Linked DNA regions of Nothobranchius furzeri. The main gene of each other region encodes a partner of the protein of the gene in region 3 in a complex. Links are inferred from orthologs where the notes say so. Each region holds a gene or a part of one and is shown on either strand. Other genes may lie near its edges.

Region 1 (3,409 bases), on a different chromosome or scaffold from region 3:
TCTATTCCTCTCCTCTGTTCTCATATACCTCACCTTCTGCCTTAGTTTTGGTTTGCTAATCTCTGTAAAATGAGACGAAACAAATTTTAGTTACATGTTTCTGATAACAGACGATGCTAAGTAAAGTTTTGTTCCTTTTATTTTTGTACGTATGTGCTGTGCACAGCAGTCTACTGTATATTCCTGAAATACCAAATAATAAAAGTTTGTTTTTCTTTTTTTAACTGGCTGCTGGGAGTTTGTTGTTTCTGTGGTTTAACTGGATTTGCTGACCTTGAACTGAAAGATGTGAGTCACTCATTTAATAAATACATTTGTAGTGGTCTCTAGGAATTAATCCAAGTTGTACTCTGGGGAGGAAAAACTGACCGTTGCACCATTTCCAGGAACTTGTAAACGATAACGACCTGCACTTGTACTGCTTCGTTCAGAGTCAAAGGTAGAGAGGTGGTAGTGATCCACGGGTGAGTCCATGAATGTTGAGTGACAGTGTGATGCAGATCTGGCAGTTTCACATCTCTTTTCTATCAGAAACTGATGCAGGAGATAGGTGTAGGAGACTATTTTCATGTTCAGCCTGCATGAAAAACTCAGAGTGACCCATTATAATCAGAAATAATCATTAAAAATTGGTTTTTAGTGTTCCACATTTTTAAATCATGAAAAATTAAAACATTTCAAACACAAAATATTAGTTTAAATTTTTAAAACAACAAAGACCCCAAAATACATGCCAAACATAAAATTTACAACAAAATAATTTTTAAATCAAGTCCTGTCCCTAATTTACAAAACAAATGTAAGGTTAATTAACAGATTAAAAAATCTTTCTGACTTATTCCATGAATTATAACTTGTCACCATAATAATTTCCTGCATGAATGAACCGTTTATAAGAGGGGAACAGACTAAACGCAGTTAGGTTTCCAGTGTGGCAGCTTTCTGTAAAAGATGCGTCTGTTTGCTTTCCTCCCAACAAGGAAGTGTCGCCATCTGCTGGGTAAAAAGTGGAAACGTGGATGAGTGCAGGTGTGCAGAAAAAGCAGAGCTGGCATAAACAACTATTTTAACTCTTTAATTATAGAGCTGTCACTCTTGGTTGGGGAAATAATCCGCGATGTGATGAAAAGCCTTTAGAGGTTTTTTTTTTCCTTTTGAAATATTACACAATGCAGCTTCCTGCACTCCGAACTAAAACCTGAAGCGGTGGTTTAATAAGAAACGGTGGATGAGTCAAGAAGAGAACCCAAAAATAAAAGTCTTGATTTTTAACCAAGATCATGAAATAAACAGAGAGGTGGAAGTGGTCCTTCCGCTGCTGAAACCCGCACCTCTGCTTTGGGGGCGAGTTTCTTTTTCTTTTCTTTTTTTCCGCGCAAAGGATGTGCGCAGGAGTGGCGCTCAGATGGGCTTTAAATAGGTACTGTCACCAAACTGTGGCACAACAGAGCATCCGAGCGCTTCCAGCAGTCCAAACCAGCGGTTTGATCCAGGATGGACGTCAACAAGCGACTGGGGATGAGAGACACGATGCTGACGCTCTTACTCGCTGTCCTGCAGGGACTTCCTGTCGGGGAAGCGGCACCGAATCCGTCTCCGTTAGTTGGATCCAACTGGGGGAACCCGAGGAGATACGTTCACCTGCAGACCTCCACAGAACTCAACAACTTCTACCTGGAGATCAGATTAGACGGGTCTGTGGGCAAAACTACAGCCAGATCTGCATTCAGTAAGTTGATATTTGGATGAAAATAATGTAGGTTTATAGACCAAGGTCAGGCTGCTAAAAGTGTTTTTTTTCTCTCGCAGGTGTAATTCTAATGAAAGCTGAAACAAGGGAGCACGTGGCCATCTTCGGTGTCAAAAGCAACCGTTACCTGTGTATGGATCAGGAGGGGATTCTGTTCAGCTCGGTAGGTGTTTCAAAGTTATTTTCAAATTTCCAGCCTAAAACCTTATTCTGAGTTTGTTTATCGGTCCTATGTGCTTTTACGCATCTGGCTGTGCTACTTTTACGCATGCGCACCGCAGTTTATTTTCTAAATAACACTTAATTTCTTTAGTTTGCTGCTTATTCATCTTTAAAATACTTCAGTTGAAAGCTCGCATGTAATTTTAGTCGATTTATCAAACCACGAGTTTGTTTCTGGTGTCATTGTGGAGTTTTACGCACAACTTTTACGCACAGGATTCCTTTATTTAAAACGTCGGTTGGATTTATTGGCATCTGAAAATTGAATAAAAATAAATTCAAGGCATTTTTTCCGCCTAAATAAAAGTCAGCAAACATCGATCAGCTGGGGTTTGATGGCTTTCTTTTCCTCTTTTAGCCCATCTGCCAGAGGGACTCCTGTCTGTTCTACCACAGGCTTCTGGAGAACAACCGGGACGTCTACTATTCTACTCTAACCGGGATCCTGTTAAACCTGGAGGGCTCCCGGCAGCTTTACTCTGCGGGTCAGAACCTGCCGCAGACCTCCCTCTTTCTGCCCAAGAAGAACACGGTGCCGCTGCAGCGCCTTTTGCTGCACAGAGACAAGAGGACTCGGGTTGCGGACCCAACAGACCCACACAACGTCTTGATTTGGCAGCCTGAGGACGAGTTGGACTCCAGGGCGGCACAGGAGGACGACATCGACCTGGATGTGGAGGTAGAGTTGGAGACGGAAACAGAAGTCGGGGATGATGGAAGAAACGTTTCCCGGGAGACGCCGCTGGCTCCACACGACCCCTGGAACGTGAACTTATCCAGGCAAGGCGGCGCTCGGAGCACCGGGACCACGGTCTGATCTCGGCACCATGGATGATTTTAGAGTTAATGTGCTCTGCCTGAGTCCAATTTAACAGTTTAGTCCAAACATCCATCTGAAAAGCTGAATATATATATATTTTTTTTTTTGGGTAAAATCGGTGGTTTGTATTGACTTGTAACCTTTTTTGCACATTTTCTTCTGTCTTAAATCTAAAAAGCAACTAAATACGTTCTCTTCCATCATCAGACCTTAAAGAGAGTAATCAATTTTAGAAAAGCTTCTGCATCTTTGGCATCTGAGCATTCATCCAAAATGCTGGAATATCAAACAGGATGGAAATTATTCCTCTCTTTCTCGGTTGGTCTGACAAACCCACAATGATGTTTCCAAGACAGAAGCCTGATTTTTCCTACCTCTGGAGAACTGAGCGGCCTGCTGTCAAACCAGACAGGCATCACTAAAAATAAATATATAATTAAAGTAGAGTAGAAATGACTAGAGTTATAGTTTAAATGTCTTTGTTATACAATCTTAAGTATATTTTAAGAGTTGAACATACTCTCAAATCATCATTATGACTTATTTGCAGTTTGATCTGATAAATGACTTGAAAGAAAATGACTACAGGGTAAATAAATTCTACAGAATATCAAATG
Region 2 (3,989 bases), on a different chromosome or scaffold from region 3:
GACGAGACAGTTCGATGAGTTTGGTGGAATCCGATGGACCCACATTTAAGTGTCTCTGCAATGAACCTCTTGAGGTAGTACATTTGTTTCGGATCTTCCGTTTTGGTGTTACCGAGGACATACCTGGAAAACAAACGCAAGTTCAACACAAACCCAAACTAAAACGGATATGTCCGTGTGCTAACCTACCAACCGCTTTGCATCACAAAGATGGGTGGCTTGTCATACTCTTCGTTGACCCAGTAGAGCAGCATCCTCAGGTCCAGATCTTCCAGCTGCCCAAACTTCAGGCTGTCGTTGATGAGTTGGAAGCTCAGGGTAGCTCCATGGGAGAGGGCGAAGAAATCAGCTGTTCCTCTGACCTGCTCCCTCTCCTCCTGGGTAAAGGAGGGGAGCCGTGAACCCAGCCTCTCCTTCATGCAGGCTGGATAGTCTCCATCTACAAACAGCGGCTGTGCAAACCAGCCCAGGACATGGTCCAGGGAACACTGGCACTCCCGCAGGCTTTCCAGGCGAGTACGGCTGGGCTTGATCCAGTGGGAGGCCAGAGCCATGGAGACCTTCCCGTGCTGCCGAGGCCGATAGCGGCGGTTGTAGAGGTGCCATGCAGCTGCATGGGCCTGCAGCAGAGACAAGAGAGATACATAAAGAATAAACTTTTACATGCAGGTCAAAAAGTTAAAAAAAAAGTTCTGTGTGCATAATAAATTACACTGTAAAATCTGAATGGTTATTTTTACTTGGAAAAAAAAGCATGAAAATGACAGAAAAGATTGGAGCCCCAGTGGCCTCCCTGCTGAATAAGTGCAGATTTTTTTGTGTTAATGTAGCCTAATATGAGATGTGGGGAGAAAAAGCATGTGAATGCAATTATATGGGGGTTGGGGTTAGTTGAAAAGAGATGTTAAGATAAACACTTTGATGTTTTTTCTGATGCAGATTACCAAGACGTTAATGTAGTTTTGCAAAATAGTTAAATTTGGAAAGGTATTGAAAAGCTGTTGTATCTAAAGCAACCATGAATTATTATGTTGTTGGAATTACACACACATTTTTGAAATACTTAAAGGCACATTTTTTTATTATTATTTTTTTTCATACAGATGTACCTCTCCAACAAAGCAGTCGGGCCCCCCTGTAATGTAAATGTAGAACCGCCCCTGGCCATATTTTAGTGCTTTTTACTATTTTAATGGGAAAAAAATCATAGTAATAAACATTTTTTTTTGTAATTTATTTTCAAGATACTAAATGGAAGGAAAATTGAATAAAAAATTAGATTTTTGAACAGATACTTTTTGTGACTAATAAAAAAACAGCACATTTTTTAAATCAATACCCACCTTAAGTAAGTTATGTCCCACTCGGAGAGGGAGATCAGGGTCGTTCTTGATCCCAGGAGCGACCACCCCGGTTCCGTAGCCATACTGCGCCACCACAAACGGGTTATCTATGGTGATCCAGAACTTCACATCATTCCCAAACGCATGGAAGCAAAAATCTGCGTAATCCTCAAATATCCCCACGATCTCTGGGTTGCTCCAGCCGCCCAGGGTCTGCTGCAGCTGCTCGGGCAGGTCCCAGTGATGAAGCGTGACCACCGGCTGGACTCGGACCTCCTTCAGCCTCCTGATGAGCGTCCGGTAGTAGCTGGTGCCGATGTCGTTATAACTCCCGCGCGTCCCGTTCGGAAATATCCTGGACCAGGACAAGGAGAACCTGTAGTGGGTCACCCCGAGCTGGCGGATGGCCCGGATGTCCGCGTGGATGTTGTGGTAGCTGTCGCTGCCCACGTCCCCGGTGGCCATGCGGTTCCCTCCGCGCGTAAAAGTGTCCCAGATGGAGAGCCCTTTGCCGTCCTTCTCAAACGCGCCCTCCACCTGGTACGCCGCTGTGCCCACGGCCCATATGAAGTCCCCGGGGAACGTGTCGTAGAGAAAAGCCTTGTCTCCCGGATAGGGAAGTTTACTGAAGCGGCTCCACGTCTTCAGACCCGCATTGGGCTTTGCGCCAACAGCAGCGAAGGCCACAAATGTGAGAACAGCGACAAACCCCTTCATGGTTGGTTTTCTTACTGGCCGTGGAAGTCCGGGTCCTCAGCTGGCTCACACTCCACCATGCTTGGTGGCTTTTTGGTGACTAACCAGACCTCTGCGACGCGCGAGCAGCCAGCTGTGAACCTGTCAATCATTAACCAAAGCACCTGACGCAGGAAGGGCTCAGGGCACAAGACGTTAAGGCTCCCACAAAGACAAAATAAGGCACGATCACTTTATTTTATTCTATTCTGCTCATATTGAGCCTTTAATCTCAGTCTAATCTCCTGGAGAGCAGGTGCCAAAGCCTCTAATGTGAACCCATCAACAGATCATAGCTTTAATCCATCTGCAAAACATGTATAACTAAATCTACATTCCTAATCTCATCAGAGACAATGTGATGAGTCAGATGGTTGCTAGGGAACACAAACCCATCCCAGGTTATCACAGCATCAGTATAAATACCTGAGGTGGTGGGTATGTCTTAGAATAAAAAAGTGGTTCTTTCTCTGAGAGGCCATAGTCATTTACATCTAATTAGACTTTTTGAATATTTGGAGCCAACTGTGTTCAAATATGTTGTTTATGCTATTAAAGTGTATAATCAAACCACTCCTCAGACGTCCAGCTCTGCTCATCGTTTAGCGAATTTGCCCTGCAGGCTCTGTCACGGATCACAAACGGGAAGAACACGGGAGTGTTTTTCCATCGGACGCACTGGAGCGTTTGTGCATAAGCGACGTGGAGCAGGAGCAGCCCCATTTACAGCACGGGAAGAGGATTATTAAGGGATGCTGGGCAGCCCGAGGACAGCGCGTGACTCCGACAGATGCCGCAGTTGGATCTGAAGAACTAGAACGTCTGTTTTCAGTCTGAAAAACTAAACGTTTCAAACCAAATAAAGAGGAAGCGAGCAGGTCTGGTTTTATAGAGAATTATATTGTTACAACAGAGGGTCTGACTGGGTGGATGTGAAGCCAAATTAACCAGCAGTGACACAAACGACGTTCCTCTAGCAGTGAGTACAAATCTAACCAAATAAATCAGATGCACACTACAGTCATAACCAGAAGCAACTCTACAATTGCTTTTTTTTTGTTTGTTTTTAAAGTTTTCAATAATGGTAAAAAAGAAGAAGAAATGTTTTAATATACAGAGGTGTAAACAAAATCATTCCAATAAAAGGTAAAATGACACAATTAACACAGAAAAAGTTGATGGTGATCGGTCTTTTTTTTTTTTTAGCTTTTAATAATAACGGCAGAACCCAAAAGGCTTTACAGCACCTCCCCAGTCAGCATCAAACACAACAACAGAACAACAAACAGACAGAGGAGACTATTTACAAACCATATTGTTTTTGTTTTTCATGTTAAGATGAGTTCTACCTAACGTGGCGAACATGATCACAATGCAACACGAAGCGACGAGCCACAGCTGACCATGCGGACGCTCTGATGTGGTGTGCATGTGGTAAATGCAAGTGTGTAACAGCGGGAACATCGGCATATGAAAAGTTTAAAAAGTTCAAAGTTCATGGGTTTTTTTTCCTTTCCTGAAACGGTTTCCTTGACGACAGAAGAATCGTTGTGTTTTGTTTTTTAAATTTTACTCCAAAGCTCATCTTCTGCGTCCTGCTGTCTTCTTACGACCCTGAAAGACAATAAAAAAAAAAAAAGACATTTTACTTGCGATTAATCGCAAATTAATTACAGATTATAAAAGTACGGTAACGTGATCTTTTTCATGTATGAGCAGACAAATACACCGATTCTATAAGAAAACATATTTGTTATTGCAACAATCCAGTAAAATGACAAATATTGTCCAGAATGTTCTTTTTCGATGAACACAAATCTAACTAGCGCGTCGTCTTTTATTGAGAAAGTACCGGATGTTCTCCTCCACCCCGGTGTCTACCTTCCTGTTCCCTTCGTGTCCGCCTGACAC
Region 3 (4,289 bases):
GTATAACATTCCTTCCAAAATGACTGAACCATTAGGATATTCTCACTGTAAAATTCTCACTATATTCTTACATACTGCAGCTTTAATTTTTTTAACACCATTCCTCTAAAACCATGTTTAAGGGTATTTTGTCATTGTGTGGACCAGCCAATTGTCCCCACAATGTGGAAATATCCACACACTACAGACACACACACACACACACACACACACACACACACACACACACACACACACACACACACACGCACACACACACACAGACACACACACACACACACACACACGCACACACACACACACAGACACACACACACACACAAGGCTGTGTCCTTTTTAACGGTGCTGCTTTTCTTTTCTTTGGAGGACCTCTGACACATTCCTTGCTCAGCACAAACTGAGCTCTTATTTGCACAGAAAATACCTACTGAGGCCACTTAGCAAGACACACACACACACACACACACACACACACACACACACACACACACACAATTCTAATCTAAACACTGCACCTTTCTAGCTTCAGAGTGCCATATCTTATAATGTCTTCAATGTGTTTGACAGAACCTTCTCTCTGAACACATCCTCGGTATCTTCCAACACAACACTTCCATGCTGTTGCGGTTTACACAGCACACTCCAGGCAATGATAGCAGGCTGTGCAAAAGTGCAACCTCCGTTTACTCTGACAGGCACCAAAACATACGCATATAGCAGAGTTGCGTCTTGTCAGTTTGCAGATCTGTTTAGACAAGTTGCATGACAGCCTCTCAAAGCCTGAGAGCAGAAACTTGGAAACAACAACGGCGGTAAGTGACTGATCTAGTATCGTATGGCCCATGTTGCGAAATAACAGGTAGCATTACGGCAGCAGCTATGTTCAACCTGTTTGTACTGAAAGGTACGGTTAGGATTGTTTCTAAAATGTAATATCAAGACTCAGAGTTAACTGTAACTGTGATGACTCTATTTCACTAACTAACCTCAGTTGAACGGATTCAAAAAGTGTTTTAGTGCTAATATTGTGTAACAGCATGAAAAGGAAAATGACCTGCTTAATAAAACATGAACATTAATCATGTATAACTATTTTCACAGAGGTAAAGCTCAGAGGCAGAAACGGGTTCTAAGTGCTCCAATCCCTGTCATCCTCCTCCTCCTCCTCATCCTTAGTGAGGATCAATCCGAGGCACCGATCACATGCTGGTCACAAGTCTCCGAAGTGTCACTAGGATTTCACAATTAAGCTGAAGGACAGCTATGGCTCAACTCACTTCTTTATTTTAGGGGGAAGGGGATTCAAAGTTTTGTTGAGAGGCAGAGCAGTAGCCAATCAGATGAGAGAACAGCTAGGAGTCAGAATTAGCCTCACACATAGTGAGCCATCTTCCATTCCAGCTTTGATCAGAATCTTTTCATCCTTAAATGCTCTCATCTTTCCCTCCTCCATCACACTTAGCCCCTCTCCTCTCGCTGCGCCTTCAGATGGGAGATGAGCAGCAGGGACACGGGGTCGGATCAGTCTGGTTGATCTGGCGTGAATGTGGCTCTGTGGTTCCATATATGACGTCAATATTCACATCTTCCTTTAGGTGATGTGTGCTAACGCGCATTAGGTTCACTAAATCACGCCATCAGGAGCAGGAGTGGGATCACCATCCAGCTGGTCTGGAACACGTCACTGGAACAGGGATGCTATGTTAACGCTCATAAAAAGTAGTTTTTATTCATGAGCAACAAAGTGAAAGGCAGCTTAAACGCGTGTGATCATCAAACATTCGCTCGATGGGCGCGTGAGAGGTTTGATTCCACCCACCGCACCGACCAGCCCCTGCCGCCCCGTGTCTCTACGGAATCGGGCGGCTTCTGGGAAATTCGCTTGGATCACGGTTGGAGTTTGGGAGAGATGAAAATAATTCAGGAGCTATCCAACAAAGGCTCTGTTATCGAAATAAGAGGGGCCCGATCACCTTCGTGCCCTTCAAAAAGCTGCTTTATCATTTCTACTGATGTGCGTAAATAAGCGAATGTGAGCTAATATGTTCGCACACTGCGCAACGCGCATGTAGGCAGCAGTGACCACGCCAGGCGAACTAAAAGGACCAACTGACTCAGTTCTTTGTAGTCTGACTCCGGAGAGAACGCGCCAATTACGCACTGACCCAAAGAGCCGCTGTGGCACCAGCGAGGTTTTAAACAGAGATGCGTTCTCTAACGGCGAGACGCTGATGGGTCGAGCCTGTCAGACTAAAAGGAAGAGGAATTCACTTTTTGTCTGCGTAATACTACTACTACTACTAATAATAATAATAATAATAATAATAATAGTACAATTAGTAGTAGTAGCAGTAGCAGGAGTAGTAACACTTTACCTGAAATATTCAGTTACAGTAGAAGCACAGACATCTGATTAGAGAAAAATGAGGTGATTAAATTAGAATAGACCAGGAGTCCAAGAAAAAAAAGTGGGACCAAAATCCAAAAGCTTCTTAAAATACTTCCGTCCAGTCCCTTTCAGGGCAGCTGTGTGGAAAACAAAATAGTCCAAAAACCTCCCGAGTCAAAATAAGCTGCGTACTGGACTCCGCATATGAGAAAGACAAACTTGTCCTTACTGGATCCAGATCTGCACTACAGGCTGCCACCAGCTTCAAAGTGTCCAAATGTCCACACAGCGCTCATCTCGTCCTCAAGGGGAGCGGTGTGGACGGCCCGGTTCGGGTGAAGGCGGTCCGGGAGCCACTCGCTGTCACAGATCTACCGACTCTGGCTGCTGAAAAGCCAAACCTGGTTAGCGCACTACAGACACACTTCCGCCCTTTCAGAATAAAACCAGTGGCATTGAGCCAATTGTGCACACATTTGTTATACCGCTATGTGTTTTTATGTATAAATGTATTTGTTTATTTTGCCATGTAGAATTGTATTTTCTACAGCCCAAGAAACAGGGCCGCCAGCAGCTTCGTTTTAAAGCTGCTATAGCAAATTTGGAAAATAAGTTGGCTTAAAACTTTTCTATGCATTTTAACAACATTCTAACATAGTATAGCTATAAAAATATTATGAAGATAAAAAATGAAACAAAGAAAATATTAAGTGGTTCTCTTGCATTTGTCTAAAAGCCCCAGCCAATGCATGTTCAGACCAAAAGCAACCATTGGCCCATCCGGTTGTCTGTCTCGCTGAACCACCACACTTCTCTGGGTCCTTCAGTCATTACACACTTTTACACCACTGGTGTGAGGTTCTCCACTTAATAATATCACAGAAGAAGAAACAGCCAGCTGCTACCAATTCAACTTTAGGACAAACAGAGTCCCAAAAAAGAAAAACATCCAACGTCCCAGACAACAAAAGATGTTTGGACCTAAATAAATGGTGACTGATGTTTAATGCTCTCTCGTTTCCTCTGTCAATGTGGGTTTCCGGTTCCAGTGGACATGAAACCGGTGAGGATACCCGAGGGGAGGGGTGAGTGTTCCTTGCACAGACACGTTGGACTGGCTATTGGAGCTGAAGTAGCAGCAGGCTACCATCTTGGATGGGTTCCCATTCGCCCCAAGTGCATTTCTTTCTACTGAGGAAGCTTCAAACAGCACTAAATACTGTCCTCCAACTAGAAAAACATGTTTATGCTTTTTCACAAAATCAGACATATGGTCTGGCATGACAGGGTTTTTTTTGTTGTTTTTTTTTTATATATATTTTTTTCATTACAAACTCCAAATATCATAGCTTAATCCAAGCACGTTGACCATGTACATAGGAAAAACAAAGAGAAATACAAAACATAGAGTCCTTCAGTCATTTGGAAATACCTTGCAGTATGAGAGATGCTGAAACAATCCCGATGTGCTTTGGGCAGGGGTCCTACGTTGAGTAGAAATTGTCCAGTGCAGTCCCAAGCATGTACATAATATTTTTCTTTGAACATCTTAGGTGTGTTCTTGCTGTGTCGTATCTCTAATTCCATGCTGTAGTTCTTTTTTAAAACACCGAGCAGTTTTGTTTACCTGTTTTCCCGCTACGTCAGCCTGAGGAAGTTTGCAGCCGCAAACGAAACGTAGCGGGAAAACAGGTAAACAAAACTGCTCGGTGTTTTAAAAAAGAACTACAGCATGGAATGTACATAATATATTCGTTGGGAATACACTCCTGTATCACAATATGCCAGGACTTTAATGAGGGTGTAGATTCCTTGATTCAAAAAAGCAAAATATTCTTTCTGGCAGCAAAGGACAAAAGGTTATATAATTGTTTATAGTTGGGCTTTATTTCAGGATCTG

Evidence for each region.
Region 1: the proteins of fgfr3 (region 3) and fgf23 are in contact, whole or in part, in a cryo-EM structure (PDB 7YSU), measured with the Homo sapiens proteins. The link is inferred for Nothobranchius furzeri from reciprocal best matches to the Homo sapiens genes FGFR3 and FGF23. Residues at the interface, in NP_000133.1 of Homo sapiens: Glu157, Arg158, Asp160, Lys161, Leu163, Leu164, Ala165, Val166, Pro167, Arg223, Asp244, Leu246, Glu247, Arg248, Ser249, Pro250, Val277, Tyr278, Ser279, Asp280, Ala281, Gln282, Pro283, His284, Ala312, Gly313, Ala314, Thr316, Thr317, Asp318; in NP_065689.1 of Homo sapiens: Ser29, Leu32, Gly33, Ser34, Trp36, Tyr43, Ala45, Ala47, Arg48, Asn49, Ser50, His52, Ile75, Arg76, Ser77, Glu78, Asp79, Ala80, Gly81, Val83, Val84, His117, Gln118, Thr119, Asn122, Gly123, Tyr124, Asp125, Leu158, Ser159.
Region 2: the proteins of fgfr3 (region 3) and kl are in contact, whole or in part, in a cryo-EM structure (PDB 7YSU), measured with the Homo sapiens proteins. The link is inferred for Nothobranchius furzeri from reciprocal best matches to the Homo sapiens genes FGFR3 and KL. Residues at the interface, in NP_000133.1 of Homo sapiens: Gln286, Leu288, His290, Val291, Val293, Gly299, Thr303, Pro304, Tyr305, Val306, Thr307, Val308, Leu309, Lys310, Glu320, Leu324, Ser325, Leu326, His327, Asn328, Val329, Glu332, Asp333, Thr338, Leu340, Phe347, His349; in NP_004786.2 of Homo sapiens: Ser539, Gln540, Phe541, Thr542, Asp543, Asn545, Val546, Tyr547, Leu548, Trp549, Asp550, Val551, Ser554, Lys555, Arg556, Leu557, Val563, Lys566, Arg568, Tyr571, Val573, Ala576, Pro580.

Annotation. Positions count from the first base shown.
Region 1 is NC_091741.1:43,106,070-43,109,478, reverse strand, and holds fgf23 (fibroblast growth factor 23), read left to right. Parts: upstream 1-1,330; 5' UTR 1,331-1,494; coding exon 1,495-1,729; intron 1,730-1,809; coding exon 1,810-1,913; intron 1,914-2,330; coding exon 2,331-2,789; 3' UTR 2,790-2,909; downstream 2,910-3,409. UniProt on the Homo sapiens protein: Regulator of phosphate homeostasis. Inhibits renal tubular phosphate transport by reducing SLC34A1 levels. Up-regulates EGR1 expression in the presence of KL. Acts directly on the parathyroid to decrease PTH secretion. Regulator of vitamin-D metabolism.
Region 2 is NC_091750.1:61,953,038-61,957,026, forward strand, and holds the start of kl (klotho), read right to left. Parts: upstream 2,802-3,989; 5' UTR 2,061-2,801; coding exon 1,344-2,060; intron 621-1,343; coding exon 190-620; intron 124-189; coding exon 44-123; intron 1-43. Other genes in the region: pds5b (sister chromatid cohesion protein PDS5 homolog B), read right to left, coding at 3,660-3,692. UniProt on the Homo sapiens protein: May have weak glycosidase activity towards glucuronylated steroids. However, it lacks essential active site Glu residues at positions 239 and 872, suggesting it may be inactive as a glycosidase in vivo.
Region 3 is NC_091758.1:6,593,477-6,597,765, reverse strand, and holds the start of fgfr3 (fibroblast growth factor receptor 3), read right to left. Parts: upstream 2,804-4,289; 5' UTR 2,376-2,803; intron 1-2,375.